Linked DNA regions of Tribolium castaneum. The protein of the gene in region 1 binds, or shares a complex with, the protein of each later gene. Links are inferred from orthologs where the notes say so. Each region holds a gene or a part of one and is shown in the gene's direction. Other genes may lie near its edges.

Region 1 (4,204 bases):
TCAAAAATCGTCAAGTTTATATTTTTTTGGTAATTCAATTTAATGCAATAACGTAAAAAATATGGCACAAAGTTAAGTGCACGTTATAGAGCATATTAAACTGTTTTTCACTATAATGTTGAACATTTTATCAGGTTTTTACAATTTATTGTTCACTCTTTTTTAGAATTTTTCAGATCTCCCGAGAATTCAAAAAAAATTGTCAGTTGCTCTATTTTGACAAAATTTAATCTAAAATCGTCAAACAAAATTAAAGTTAGTTGAAAACTACTCGTCCTAGAGCATTTTAACTTGTTTTTACGATAAAATTCACCTTTAAAAATGCAAAAATTTGTTTATTTCTTTTAATTCAAGACAGTCTTTTGCTTTCTTTTTTAAAATTTAATCTAAAATTATATAGGATTTACCTGATTTTTTATATAAATTGAAGTGAAAGAAATAACAACTTAACAGGAAAAAATCATACTTTTTTAATTAATATTTTTGGAAGCAATTTAACATGTTTTTAAAAATTTATGGATTATTTTTGATTTTTTTTTCAAACTCAACACTGTTTTTTTGTTTTATTTTATTATTTACATATTCTAATTAATTATTTGATTAAATCCAACATGTCTGATTTTTTTATTTAATTTGTTGTGACGTAAGAATTAACATTTGTATTTACTACTAATGCAACTTTTTTAATAAATTTTGAAAAAAAAAACCACTCGTCGTAGAGCAGTTTAACCTGTTTTTTACGATCTAACGTTTAGGATGATTTTTTTTTCAAATTGAAGTTTGTTTTTCGATTTATTTAGTCAAAATTTATATTAAAATTGCTAAAAGTTTTTTAGTTCAATGATGTTTAAAATCTTAAAAAAACATTATTACTGTTACTTAATTTAATAAAGTTAAGGCAGGTTTATAGAAAGTTTCTTTAAATTTTAATTAGTTGTTAAAACTTAACAACGCGATTAAACCAATCAAATTAGTTCAATTTGGTCACGTGATCAGTTAATCACGCATTTAATTGTAGATTAAATTAATAAAGAACATCTCTTGCAACAATCTTTTGAAAATGATCGAATTTCTTCAAACCTCAATTAAACCAAAATTAATCTGAACCACAACAATAATGACCAGAATGTAATCTGAGTATTTCATTAAACAACCTTTCGACCCTAAACCCAATCAAGTTAATAACGTAATAACTAAAACAATTTCCCGTCCCTTCCTTTTTATATTTTTTGTCATCAAGTTTGAAATTTTTGCAATTTTTCGGTGCTCATAATTAAGACCCGGCGTCGCGACGCCACAAATCACGAAAACAAACGTCCGGAACGCGTGTCTATTCGAAATAATTTATCGATCGGATGTGACGTCACGCGCGCCGGCCGTCGCGACGCGAGCAACAGGCTGTGATATCAACAGTTGTCGCGTTGGCAGGCGTCGCGACGGACGTCGACGGCCACTCTCAAGCAACGACCAACGTGATTTATTTCACCCTTTTTGTCCATGGTAAACAATGGTCGATTGTGGAGCCAACGATGCTACCAACAGATTTGTTTGTCCCAATGATCGGCAATTGGCGCTTCGAGCCAAGTGAGTAAACTAAACGGAGGGAATTGTTTGTTTTTTCGTGTTTGTTGTGATGGTAATTGGGGATTGTTAAAGGATGACGGATGTTTTATTGATTTAATGCTTCCACTTTTCTAGCTAGGATAATAGAGCTCGGGGCTCTTTGATGACTGCGAAAATTGGGCAAAATATTTTTTAAAAAGCCAACTTTTCGGAGCAAATAATTAAAACACGGTTTTATTCCTTTTAGCTAATTAAAATTTCGCCCACAAACTGACAAATATTTGTCAGTTTCATCTCACTGTGAGTGAAACAAAATCATTATTTTTATAATTAATTTTTATTAACTTAGCTTAAGTTTAAGATTTAAAAAAGATACAAAATCACGAAATTCCTAGCGAAATTCGCTCTAAAATAATAATTTTGGAGGGGTTTTCGTTAAAATGTGCATATAGTAAAACCTCTCAACAACGGACACAGGTAGGGAATTTTTAATTGTCCGTTTTAGAGAGGTTTTGTTACTTTTCTACAAAAATGTCCGTTGTGAAGAGGTGTCCGTTATTCGGAGATGTCCACTAAGAGAGAATTTATTGTGATTATTATTTTGCAAGATTTTGCTAAAAACAAACCCAAATATCACCAATTTACTAATTTTTACCATTGTTTTGCAAAATTTCGTGAAAAACTACCCAAAAAATAATGTCAAAAAGATCGAAAATGACGTTGTTAATTATTGAAAATTATCAGAAAAAAAACACTAAAATCTAAGCTGAAAATAAGTTATTTTGGTGCAATCTTTAGAAAAATTGTTTCTTTTGTTAAGTTTTACAAAAATTAACTCAAAAAACAGCAAAAACGTTCAACATTTTTCCACTCTAAAAGATAAATATTTTAAAAAATTCGTCTAAAATCAGCTCAAAAATTACGAAACTTGGTTAAAAATGACACTTATCTTTTCTTTTTCATGTATTTTCGTTCGGTTTTTAGCTAAAAATTCACTTTTGTCGGAGATTCTGTCAAAAATAATCGCAAAAATTACTTTTTTTAGAAATTTTTTTCAGACAAAAACACTATTATTTCGCGTATTTTAGCAAAAATAACTCCAATAATCACTAAACCAAATTTTATTCCTTTTATCTAATTAAAATTCCGCCCACAAACTGACAAATATTTGTCAGTTTCATCTCACTGTGAGTGAAACAAAATCATTATTTTTATAATTAATTTTTATTAACTTAGCTAAGTTTAAGATTTAAAAAAGATACAAAATCACGAAATTCCTAGCGAAATTCGCTCTAAAATAATAATTTTGGAGGGGTTTTCGTTAAAATATGCATATAGTAAAACTTCTCAACAACGGACACAGGTAGGGAATTTTTAATTGTCCGTTTTAGAGAGGTGTCCTTTAATTGGAGGTGAGAAATTTTAATATAGGTTTTGTTACTTTCCTACAAAAATGTCCGTTGTGAAGAGGTGTCCGTTATTCGGAGATGTCCACTAAGAGAGAATTTATTGTGATTGTTATTTTGCAAGATTTTGCTAAAAACAAACCCAAATATTACCAATTTACTAATTTTTATCATTGTTTTGCAAAACTTCGTAAAAAACTACCCAAAAAATAATGCCAAAAAGGCATTGTTCATTATTGAAAATTATCAGGAAAAACACTAAAATCTAACCAGAAAATAACAACTTATTTTAGTGATATCTTTAAAAAAAATTTTTTTTTGTAAAGTTTTAGAAAAATTAACTCAAAAACACCAAAAATGTCCAACATTTTTCCACTCTGAAACGTAAATATTTTACAAAATTCGTCTAAAATCAGCTCAAAAATTACAAAACTTGGTTAAAAATGACACTTATCTGTTCTTTTTCATGTATTTTCGTTAGTTTTTTAGCTAAAAATTCATTTTTGTCGGAGATTTTGTCAAAAATAACCGCAAAAATTACTTTTTTTTGGTATTTTTTTCAGACAAAAACACTATTATTTCGCGTGTTTTAGCAAAAATAACTCCAATAATCACTAAACCAAATTTTATTCCTTTTATCTAATTAAAATTCCGCCCACAAACGGACAAATATTTGTCAGTTTCATCTCACTGTGAGTGAAACAAAATCATTAATTTTTTTAATTAATTTTTATTAACTTAGCTAAGTTTAAGATTTAAAATAGATACAAAATCACGAAATTCCTAGCGAAATTCGCTCTAAAATAATAATTTTGGAGTGGTTTTCGTTAAAATATGCATATAGTAAAACCTCTCAACAACGGACACAGGTAGGGAATTTTTAATTGTCCGTTTTAGAGAGGTTTTGTTACTTTTCTACAAAAATGTCCGTTGTGAAGAGGTGTCCGTTATTCGGAGATGTCCACTAAGAGAGAATTTATTGTGATTATTATTTTGCAAGATTTTGCTAAAAACAAACCCAAATATCACCAATTTACTAATTTTTACCATTGTTTTGCAAAATTTCGTGAAAAACTACCCAAAAAATAATGTCAAAAAGATCGAAAATGACGTTGTTAATTATTGAAAATTATCAGAAAAAAAACACTAAAATCTAAGCTGAAAATAAGTTATTTTGGTGCAATCTTTAGAAAAATTGTTTTTTTTGTTAAGTTTTACAAAAATTAACTCAAGAA
Region 2 (4,066 bases), on another chromosome or scaffold:
GGCCGCGGAAACCCAACTTTCTCAGTGTATGACGCCCTGCCCCCGGTGGTAACCGTAGACCAAAACTTTGATAGCTTACTGACCCCCAAAGACCACCCGTCCCGCTTGAAAAGCGACTGTTATTACCTAAACCGGGACTATTTATTGCGGGCGCATATGACGGCCCACCAGTCGGAGCTGATGAGGGCCGGTTTGAACAACTTTCTAATGATTGGAGACGTCTACAGACGGGACGAAATCGACAGAACGCACTACCCGGTCTTCCACCAGGTGGACGCAGTTCGTCTGAAGACACGAGACGAGTTGTTCCCCAAAGAGCAAAGCTTGGAGATTTTTGAGGTGGGCAACAACACCCAGAGCACCGGAACCCAGCAGAAACAGGCGTGTCACACTCTGGAAGCGGTCAAGTTGATGGAACACGAACTGAAAACGACTCTGGCAGGCCTTGCCAAGGAGCTGTTTGGGGAGACAATTGAGTACAGGTGGATTGATACATATTTTCCGTTCACTCAACCGTCATGGGAGCTGGAGGTGTTTCACGAGAACAACTGGTTAGAACTGCTGGGATGTGGGATAATGAGACAGCCCATTTTAACCAACTCTGGCATTGTGGACAGGATTGGCTGGGCGTTCGGGATCGGGCTTGAAAGGGTCGCAATGTGTTTGTATAAAATACCCGATATTCGGCTCTTCTGGTCCAAAGACACTGGGTTTTTAAACCAGTTTAAAGTAAAATATGACGAAGACGTTACTTATAGACAAATCAGTCAATATCCACAATGTATCAACGATCTCAGTTTTTGGCTACCACAAGATAGGGAATTTTCGAGTAATGATTTCTACGACTTGGCCAGAAACATTGGAGGTGATACAATTGAACAAGTAGTTTTAGTGGACGAATTCACGCATCCAAAACTTGGGAAAACGAGTCACTGTTACCGCATTATCTACCGGCATATGGAAAAAACTCTGGTCCAGGCCGATGTCAATGTAATTCACAGCGAAATCGCCAAAGTTGCAGCCTCCACATTGGGAGTCCAGATTAGATAATGTCACAGTTAATCCCTATTTAATTAAGCAGCATATTGTTGCTCAAATAATTGTAAAATATTGCGAAATAAAGATTACATTTTAGGCAAGTGTTGGTTTTTATTTTACCCAAAAACGAGGGAGAAATACTATGAAATTTGTATTTCCCTCCATAGTGGTATTGGATCATGTGCAGAAGCGCTAAGTTCCTCCGCATCTCCCTTCCTGCTCCACTCAGTTGGCTGTTGTCATTCAAATGCGATAACCCTTTGACAGTTGTCCTGTCAAGGTGTTATGTGAAATAAAATTCCCAGTGTTGTTTATTACTGCTGAATTAGCCCAAGAATCGTTTAGGAACCCCCTAGTGCGTGTTACTCCCAGCCTAGCGTAAGTAGCAACGTTTCTCTCATGTAACGCACCATCAGGCATTTCCGTCCGGGCGCCGTGTCTTGTTCGAAGCGGGTGTCATAGGATGCTTTGGTGATTCATTTTTGCAAAAAAGATGATGTCATGAGATGCAAATATCGCAAATTTGGCTATTTTTGAAAATTCGAGAACGCGCCCGTCTTGGTTCCCTTAACGCGATTATTGATTTTCTCGGGTCAAACAATGTAGAGTACAGTCCCAAGCAAAAAAGATTGTGCGTCGTCTGGTTTTTGTCAGTTCTGTCATTCTTGATCGTAGAAAATGCCGGCACCTGCACCAGTCGCCGAAAATGGGGCCCCCCGAACCGAGCTGCAGGAGCTCCAGCTCCGGGCTGGGCAAGTCACCGATGAGGTAACACCTGGCGTAATTATGCACCACCTGATTAACATATTCAATCATTTGCAGTCTCTGGAGAGCACCCGGCGCATGTTGGCACTGTGTGAAGAGGTAAATATCCGCCCCCTTGCTGTACCCACCCAGATCCATACCGATAATCTTAATAATTCTCTCTAGGTGACTTATCCCTAATGTAATTTCGTGATAAATGAACCGAGTTGGGGTGTCAGGATCTTGTTTATTTTTAGTTGACTTTCGTAAAACTCATCCCTTCTTTGCTCTAAGTGTTGCAATTACCATACAATGATGGCATAGTTTGATCAGTGAGATAAGAGTAAATTGTTTGGTAATTGTTTTGGTGTATCTCTGTGCTGCATGTCTTGCACTGTCTTTTCTGTCCTCTGATTCGACTCAACCGGTGCAGAGCAGGACTACCGTGGGGCGAGCTCTGCTGAAGAATGCGGCGGGGTTTCGGGGACGGTTGCGGTGTGCTTACATGGACTCGATGTTGTGGTAGCGGTAGCCCTGCAAGTGTGCCTGTGTTTGTGCTGTGTTATTACGTGTACAGATATGAGAAATACCCACACGCACTTTTGCACACACACACTCGCAGACTACAGTTGAATATTTGATTCCCGACCACCGCCACCTCAAACACCGGCTCCAGAAAAATGATCATACAGAGATCTATTAAAACAACTAAACTGAAAAGGGCTTCTACACTTCGTTTCTGTTTTATTGCTGGCTTTGTAGTTTTTTCGAAATTTATATCGTAATGCAAATTAGTGTTCATAGCGTTTTTCTCGTAATAATTCATAATATTCAACCTTGCTAACCGATAGTCATCTTTTCGTAACTACTTATTGGTGTTTTGTTTTGTCTGTCAGTAAACTTGTTAGATCCGTTCATGTTTAATTATTTTTTATGGATATGGCTGTTTTTATTAATATTTCGTGTAAAGATTTGGAGATTACTTTTTATGCTTATATCTAATATTCTGAAGTCTTTAACCGTTTCATTATGGATATTGAAGAACAAACATAATCATGAGAAGCCGTGATGGGAACATTTTGTTATATTCACGTGCAGTTACATTAAGATTTTGTTTAATTAAACCCGTTTTTAAGTGTTTATTTTTGTTTCAGTGAGAAAAAAAATCATTGCAAAAAACATCTATTGAATTGTTAATCTTGTGTAAACGTTTATAACGTAAAAACTTTAATATTTTAACTGTAGTTAAAATCCGGTTAGAAAGAACTAATCCAGCTCTCAGTTCTCTGGAATGCTTTAAAATAGCCATTTCAGATTTTGCATTTTTAATACGTTAAGAATTACTTCCGCCAAATTATTAAAAAAAAAATCAAATATTAATTAGGAGAAATCGCTCGTATGCGCTGATTGTTACAATTTTACGGTTTAAACAGACCTGAAATCGAAAATACTTTATGCTGTTGTTGGTAATTTCTATGAACTTTATTAGGGTGTAGTAATACATTAATTTTCTAGCTTAGTTTACTTGAAAAAAATCATAATTTGTTTGTTCTTTAAAAAAAAAAATGTAATTTTGAAAATGCAAAATTGAAATTACTATTTAAAAACGTTCTTCAGATGTGAGAAAATAAACAAGTTTCGTTTTTTTCTATGCCAGTTCTGTTATTTCTTATTTTAGTATCATCTTATCGCATTCTGTATAATTTTTTTATCGTTTTTGTGGAAATGAAAATGACTGAAGATTTGAACTGGTTTTTGAGAAACTCGGCTTTTTGGCTATTGTCAAATGTCTACAATCAGTTTCTCTTTAGAAGAAAACTGAAAAGTATGTGGTGCCTATTGATCTTAAATTCGTTGGTCACTTTCCTGTTCTAAAATTAAAAATAAAAAAAAAATTCGCCTACATTCGCACCCTAAAAAAACCTAAAGAAGCGGAAAAAGTGTAATTTTGTTGGACAGTACAACAGAAATGAATTGTAGAAGTTTTGCGTGTTCATTTAATTTTTTTATTTTATGGTTATACAGTAAGGTGATCCTGTTGAAACCCTCATGTGTCGCGACTCGCGCGCCTCTATCATAGCTTATCGTACATCCTCCTCCAGCTTGCCGGGCTACCCATTCCACTCGCTCTCTAACTTCCTCTCTATAAATCTCTTCTCTATCTCTTCGAACTGAACAAATAATATACTGAGTGCTTATCTGTAGCGGGCGTGTACCACTTAACATCTATACTAACAAACAGTGTACACTTGTTTTGTGCTGCTGTAGAGCAAGGAGGCTGGAA

What was found. Proteins that work in one complex are often made in the same cells at the same time.
Region 2: the proteins of Rph (region 1) and synaptosomal-associated protein 25 are in contact, whole or in part, in a crystal structure (PDB 5LOW), measured with the Rattus norvegicus proteins. The link is inferred for Tribolium castaneum from reciprocal best matches to the Homo sapiens genes RPH3A and SNAP25. Residues at the interface, in NP_598202.2 of Rattus norvegicus: His617, Ser618, Ala621, Ile648, Ser649, Ala650, Lys651, Gly652, Leu655, Tyr659, Leu662, Lys663, Lys665; in NP_112253.1 of Rattus norvegicus: Glu38, Asp41, Ile44, Arg45, Leu47, Val48, Met49, Asp51, Glu52, Glu55.

The regions. Positions count from the first base shown.
Region 1 is NC_087401.1:13,292,614-13,296,817, reverse strand, and holds the start of Rph (rabphilin-3A), read left to right. Parts: upstream 1-1,399; 5' UTR 1,400-1,507; coding exon 1,508-1,584; intron 1,585-4,204. UniProt on the Homo sapiens protein: Plays an essential role in docking and fusion steps of regulated exocytosis.
Region 2 is NC_087396.1:11,301,228-11,305,293, forward strand, and holds the start of synaptosomal-associated protein 25, read left to right. Parts: upstream 1-1,258; 5' UTR 1,259-1,416; intron 1,417-1,713; 5' UTR 1,714-1,716; coding exon of another isoform or gene 1,717-1,744; coding exon 1,745-1,806; intron 1,807-1,860; coding exon 1,861-1,902; intron 1,903-4,050; coding exon of another isoform or gene 4,051-4,066. Other genes in the region: PheRS-m (probable phenylalanine--tRNA ligase, mitochondrial), read left to right, coding at 1-1,050.